2 linked regions of the Cricetulus griseus genome follow. The protein of the gene in region 1 binds, or shares a complex with, the protein of each later gene. Links are inferred from orthologs where the notes say so. Each region holds a gene or a part of one and is shown in the gene's direction. Other genes may lie near its edges.

Region 1 (3,279 bases):
CTATCAGAACGCACAGAGAGATTTGAAGCCAGCAATCAAACAGTTCAAATGGCTGAACGTTTTTTGAATGGCCATGAAAATGAAATAAACAGATGGTTTAGGGAATTTGAGAATGGCCCAGTTTTTGGAGCAAAGACAGATAAAAGGGTTTATGCAAATGGTGAAATAAACCACAACATGAAACAAGAGACTCACACTTTTTGTAAGGAGGGATTTGGACTAGCATCTTCTGGAAATGCTAATTTTACAGGCTTTTCGTACAGACATCCTAGAGAGCACCAAGAAAATGTTCCTGCAATGCAGTCCAGGGTTCATTCTGAAGCAAGGTCTATGAGTGAGCATTTCTTAGGCATTGATGCATTTGACAGTCAGATTGTTGGGTCAAAGTTAGCAACCTCAGCATCACATAGCTCAGAAGCTGGCAGATCTGGCTTTGACTTTAAGCATGCCCCACCAACCTATGAAGATGTGATTGCTGGCCATATCCTAGATCTTTCAGATTCGCCTACAAATCTCAGAAGAGATTTTCAGAAGACATGGCAGGAGAGTGAAAGAGTTTTTAGGCGCATGGGCTATGAAACCTCAGATGCACAAGCCACTGAAATGAGCAGGGCCTTCCAGGAGGAATCTGCCTTTATAAGTGGTAAATGAGATTGAAGAGTGTGAAAGGAGATTAACCCATTTGAAAGCATGTGTGCCAAAGCCAAATGATTTGCAATTAAAACAGTGTGTGGAAATAACCCAGTAACAAACCAGGACTAACAGCTACCCTGTAGGCTTGTGATTCTTTACTGCCCTTGCTTTCGTTACTTTCTTTTTTAACAACAACATTTAATAGGATTGATCAGCAGTATGTATTACTGAAACCTGTTCTTCAAACTCAAGTTAAACAGGAGTTTGAAGAAGTCAACAGACATAACAACTATTGTGGTGGTTTTCAAAAGAGTGGAACTATTTGTTTGCTACAGAACAAACTCATTATTAAAATTTCAAATACAATTTACTTCATTCAATAGTTTATGGTGGTATCAGATTAAAACTTTTGGCCTGGTATTGACATATTTTAACTGAATACTTAAATAAGTCTCTGCAGTGGATAAAATACACATTAGTAATAGCCTCAGACAGGACTTACAGTATATAATATGCTGTTAGTATTTTCATCAATATGTTAAAAGTGCAGATGTAACATTAAACATCTAATATATTTAGCTATTGCAGTTGAATTGAGGTGGTAATATCCCCTGATACCAATGTTTTCTGTAACGTATGTTTTCATCTTTATGACGGTTCAATTTACCTCATTCATAGATGAGGATAAACAATACATATTAAAACTTGATTATGTTTGTAAGATGAGAGGTTTAAATCATAAGAACATAATACATGATATTTTTAACATCAGAAGATAACTTACTCCGTCTTATTTCCTACACGTGTTACAATTAATGAGGTTTCATGATAAAAGGATCAGACATAGTTAATAGGCATCATTAGTATACTCAGTCCATTCTTTTAGACAGATTGAAAGAAATAGCAAACTTAAAAATAAAAACCACTGAAATTAATAATTATGCCTCTCATATTTACAACATATGTGTCTAGTTTATCAAGTTAATATGGTTTCTTAATGTGCTTGCTTCTGGCATAATTAAGCAAAGATGTCTAATTAATTTCAAATGCTCAGTTTTTGTTAAGGCAGATCAAAACCATAGAAAACACAAAGAAGCTGGTGTTGAATATAGAAATGTGTCCCTACTGGAATCACAATTGCAAAGGAGTCCCCTCAATCATGGAGAGGCAGAGCTTAACAAAGAAAGTACTTTTTATATGAAGAACCTTGACATACCTGCTTTCATAGGTGACAAATACAAAAGCTTATTTATTCTAGGAAGAGTATAGTGAAAATCAAAACCAGTATTTAATTGATGTTTCTATGTCCATTGCAAGACACTAGAGTGCCCTGGTTAGTAATGTAACTACTGTTATTTCCTAAAGTCCACCATTCACGTGAGAGCAATGGGAAGTGACTTAGGTACTGAGTAAAAGAAGCAGCACAAAATGGGAAAAATAGATGTAAGGGTTCAAAAGGCTGTGAAGTTCAAGTCGGTTAGGAAAAGAGAGAGGTCCCTGATCGTTTCATGTATGGTAGAGTATTATTACAAGGAAGCTAACAGCTGGTGTCATGAAGAAACCCTGATATTATTGAGATAATACTTAATCAAACACTATACAATGTCTTGGCTCATAAAAATTTGTATGAACTTTATAATGATTTATGTGCATACTTCTAGAAAGGAAAATTTTGTAGAAAACTTTATATGTATGGAAAAGGTAGTTGCTTTAAATGATACATTTTCTTAAAGTTCTCCATGACTGAGGTTACTATATATATTCAATATATTAATGTAAGTGAGCATAATACACATTTATGTGTTTATTATATAATAATCCAGTTTCTATACAGTATAATATTAGAGGCATTAAATGTTTGTACTAGATCCTCAAATTCATGTTACTGTACACTTTCCAGCGAAAGATACATATAAAGTCAATTACTGGGGATTTTTCACTTTATCTGCATGTCAAATTAATACATTATTTGTTTTTTATGCTATTGCAATTGTGATGGAAAGTAGAAACTTATAAGCCTTTATAAATTTTTATTTTCAGAAACTGCTGGTACAAGACAAGGAAATCTGCATAATTTGTCAAAAGACAGTTTACCCAATGGAGTGCCTCATAGCAGACAAGCAGAGCTTTCATAAATCATGTTTTAGATGCCATCATTGCAGCGGTAAACTGAGGTAAAATGCCATGTTGAGTGTGTGTAGCACATAGATTGAAGAACCTTGGAGCATATGTATACTATCTAGTCTCTGGAGAGAAGTAGAATTTTCCAGCTACCACAGCTGCCCTCAGTTGCTACAGTCACACGGGGGGATGGGGAGGGGGGAGTATGGCATTGCTGAGGTTCACTCTCAACACTTCCCTTTTGAGTTGGGGGAATTCTGCAAGTAAGAAAGCATCCCCAGCTACTGTGCAAGTCAGGTTTTTTTTTAAGTGAGTCTGGTGTCTAAAAGTATTAGCTCTAGATTAGAAGCTGGTAAGCTCTTTCTGTAAAGGTCAGATAGTGAATGTTGTTATTTGGCAGGCTATTCTGCTCCCATCAGGACTTGTGTTTCACTGGAATCCAAGAATGGCTGGTTGGAGAAGACAGGCGGGTGTGGCTGTAAATGAATAGGCTTGGATATGTTCCAGGGAAACCTTGTATCCCAT
Region 2 (4,094 bases), on another chromosome or scaffold:
AAGATGCATTTTATATAATTAATTTAATAAGTCACCATATGGTGTTTTTTACTGATTACTGACATGCTATAATTTTGTGAAAAGGAAATTTATCCTAAAATTTAAACAGCTGAGTTAACACATCAGGAGTGATAGATTCTTAGAGTTGCTTAACCTGACAACAAAGAATTTTCTGTGAAAACTAGTTTCTTAATTTAAGAACTAGTGACCCCGGGTATTGGTGTCGAACACCTTTAATCCCAGCACTCGGGAGGCAGAGACAGGCGGATCTCTGTGAGTTCGAGGCCAGCCTGGTCTCCAGAGCGAGTACCAAGATAGGCTCCAAAGCTACACAGAGAAACCCTGTCTCAAAGAAAAGAACTAGTGAGATACGTCACATGACAAATATGATCACTTTATTTCTTAATTTTCCAATTGTGGAATACAGTGAGATTACAAAAACATGACTAGTGAATATGTGAAAATTCACTCAGAGACAAGCAAAATGCAAAGAGGATGGTTATTTTTGAAGCAGTGATGTTTCTAGAAGTCTTAAATAAAATATCAACATATATTAACTTCAACTTCTCATGTTTAATGATGTTTACAATTAATGTGATACACTATTCCCTAATTTGAGATTAACAGTCATAATTAACTCAGAATAGATTCTTTGAAGTGGTTCAAAGGGCTTTTTGCAATAAATTATTAGCCTCTAATCAGCTAATACGAAGTGAGTAGTTTTGGGGGATGTGAGAAGTATGTTAAAATCTCATAAAACATTTAATTTAAGTTAATGAAATGACTTTGTATGGTGCAGATTCACTCGGTGGAAACAGAGCCATGTCTGACATTCCAGAGAAAGCTTTATTTAGATCAAGTTGAGAAATTTTTGAGATAACAGGCTTCAGGCCATGCTATCTTGGGTGTTATAGCTAAGTAGATTTCTAGAATCTTCCAGGCCTCTTAAGCCAATTTTTTTTTTTGATGAATTGAGTTAGTGAACTATAAAAATATTTTTTGTCTTGAGCCATCTAAAGAATGTTGATTTTAAGTTTGTGAAGCTGAGCTTTGCCTCAGAAGATGCGAGTCTTCACTGGTGAGGCTGGACCTGGCCAACCCTGAATATCCTCGGTGTTCACTGACACATCATTGAGATAAGGAGAGTGACATGAGCCAGGGATAAAGTCCTGCAAGTGTGTTTCGTCCAGTGCCCAAGTGACTTCGGAACACAAGGGTGTGGTGGTCCATGAAAAGACACAACAAGTTTTAAAGCATTAATATTTTGATAGGGTAAGAATGAAGGTGCCTGTATTTGAGGATGTAAAAGATGACACTGAAGAGGAAAAGGTGGAGGAGGAAGAAAATCAGGAGGACAAGGTGAGTGAGAAAAAACTTGCTTAAAAACAGGTTTTAGTCCTTTAACAGACAAGGAGAAAATGGCCCTTTTCTTTCTCTTTTTATTTTCCACAGGCATTTCTTAAACCTGTTATTGAAGACCTAAGCATGGAACTGGCCCGAAAGTGCACTGATCTCATTAGTGATGTGAGTGGCTCTAAAGAGTTTTGTTTTACTTGCTTTGTTCACATGGAATGGCTTCGGTGCAGAATCATGGGGCTGGAGAGAAAACCCTGAGGTCACCTCTTAGAGCATAGTCATTTTTAGATCATAGAACTAAACACAAACATATTAGGTGATTTCCCTAAGGTCGATCAGCAGAAAAATTCTGCTGGAGCAATTGTCCTCATTCCTAATCCAGGTCCTGTCTCATCTAAGTTGTGCAATCACCCTGAATTGCATGGTGTTTGAGAACTCCCCAGTAGCAGAATTCATCTTGGAAGGGCTTCTGTCTGAGAAAATGATTTTCAGTATGGTAGACCTTCTGCTAAATGAATGGTGCTTATGAAGTTTCTGTCAAATGCAATTATTTTTCCAAATCATGAAAATGCATGTACCTTTACTTGCACCTAACATTTCTTTGCAATATAGGGTGTGTGTGTGTGTGTGTGTGTGTGTGTGTGTGTATTAAGGAAACTGTACATTAAAAACTCTGGTTTACATGATAATATCATTGAAAAGGAACATTTTTTTAAGAAACTGAAGCTAGTTTATATTGTATTCCAAGGATATCCAGAGTTATTTAATGTAAACCTGTACACATACATGATAAATATATAAATAGAATTCTAGATGGCATAAAGAAGAGTATTTCTCACTAGGGATGAGAGCCCACCACATCCTCAAAAAACAATATAAGAGAATTGCTGGCATAAAAAAAAAAACCATGGAGTTCTATGAAATGAAGTACAGTTGTGCCTGCACTCTGGAGCAAGTGCAAAACTGTCTGCGTCTGTTGTTTTTAATATGCAAAGTTTGATTCCTGGGCAGTAGGGTAGTTTATTGACCAGTTCTCCAAGGCCAACTTCCCTGAGTCAACTCAACAATAACCTTGGAAATGTTATTGATGTTGGTGGGTTTAGGTCTTCAAGTGTAATGTTTATAATTCTAAGATGAAATATACATGGAAAATGCTGCATCTATCCTTTACAACACTGTGATGACTACATAAATGCTAGCTACTCTGAGCCACTCCATCTGTAACTTTTATATCTATTTGTCCATGCTTGATAAAAAGGTGGTAGTCAATGGAAATGTGCACACTTCTTCCCATATTCCAGACATGATGTGATCTAGTTAAATTTTAAACTAACTTTTATTTGTGTTGCTGCTTAGTAAAAACCATAATTTACTTAACATGTGAAAATTCTTTGTAAGCTGCAATAGTAAGAAAGTGACAATGACAGTAGTGACCTTGACACCAGTGGCAGTTAAAACTTATTGAGCACTATGTGCCAGGGGCTGTAGCTTGTGATGTTGGATCTCCTATTTCCCCTCCACTTTAGAAGCAAGAAGATGGAAGCACACAGAGGTTAAAACAGGGAGGTGAACACAAAGCCCTTTCTCTTTGCTCCGTTGTTACTTCTCATAGTTGATATCCATGTAAAACTTACTACTATCTCTCAGACTAACAGTAGTAGCAGCAATGTCATCACTTAAAATCCAACTCTGAAGGCATTGCCTCTTCAGCCTTTTATATGTCTTTATTGGAGTGTAATTATTGCTGGGCTGTGGCTTTAATTAGGTAGATGATTTATTGGAGTGTTTTGGGCAGGATTGCTTATTGGTGGCATAAGACCCTTCCTGTAGGGAGGCACACTGCCTTCTTACCACGTTGTGAATGCAAACTCCATGCCATGAAATCAAACACACAGAAGAAATTTATGTTTATTACAGAGTTATGTTTCATGGCAAAATGTCTATACTACTTAAATATTTAGAACATGATTATTGGCCCTTGATTTATGCCTGGATATGTGCTTACATTTTATTTTGTCACAGAATTCTGTATTTCCTAAGACATTTAGTTTCAAGAATTTTTACATGGGTTAATAAAGATTCTGAAAAATTACACTAATTTCTAAAATAATAATTAAAGGAAGGGTTTACCCAATCATTTTAAAACCAAATGGTCGGGCTGAGGATACGGTCGAGCACCAGTGTGTCTCTCTGTACCTTAAAGGTTTTCAACTGCAAAATAAATAGTAAATAAACAAGCAAACAAACAGATACTGAGATAAATTACATGTTTATGTTCCTAGATGTTCCAGTCAAATATCACTAAATGAAAGTTAATTGATCTTATCCAGGGACATCAGTATTTTTGTGGGGAGGAAATGACCTTATATTTTGAATTCCTTTTTCTTCATATCAATACAATTTCTAAATTTGAAATTTTCATCTTCTCTATATAGTTGCATAGCCAGCTGGTTGTCTAAAATGTATCAGCCATGGAGTTAAAATTACATATATATAGGTATATGTTTTATCACACTGAATTAGGCTTGAGCGTGTACTGTATGGTGTTTCTAATTATGCAGGACTAGATTGGTGCCCCACATTTAACCTAGGTCACTACTCTCCAGCCATCATGCTAAATTAAAATAGGAACCTTCAAAAGATTTGGTGGCATTTTACACTCCATCCTGTCCTGGAGATGCATCTGTGTTTTCTGTTTTTTGAGGGCAATTTTGTGGCAAGTTCCCTGGGATTGAAAC

The links. Proteins that work in one complex are often made in the same cells at the same time.
Region 2: the proteins of Xirp2 (region 1) and Nebulette are in contact, whole or in part, in a crystal structure (PDB 4F14), measured with the Homo sapiens proteins. The link is inferred for Cricetulus griseus from reciprocal best matches to the Homo sapiens genes XIRP2 and NEBL. Residues at the interface, in NP_689594.4 of Homo sapiens: Pro2420, Pro2421, Pro2422, Thr2423, Leu2424, Pro2425, Lys2426, Pro2427; in NP_006384.1 of Homo sapiens: Tyr963, Asp964, Tyr965, Asp969, Asp971, Glu972, Ile987, Asp988, Asp989, Gly990, Trp991, Met1004, Pro1006, Asn1008, Tyr1009.

What each region holds. Positions count from the first base shown.
Region 1 is NC_048599.1:107,671,072-107,674,350, reverse strand, and holds the end of Xirp2 (xin actin-binding repeat-containing protein 2), read left to right. Parts: coding exon 1-643; intron 644-2,673; coding exon 2,674-2,768; downstream 2,769-3,279.
Region 2 is NC_048596.1:215,822,683-215,826,776, forward strand, and holds the start of Nebulette (nebulette), read left to right. Parts: upstream 1-1,278; coding exon 1,279-1,359; intron 1,360-1,452; coding exon 1,453-1,524; intron 1,525-4,094. UniProt on the Homo sapiens protein: Binds to actin and plays an important role in the assembly of the Z-disk. May functionally link sarcomeric actin to the desmin intermediate filaments in the heart muscle sarcomeres.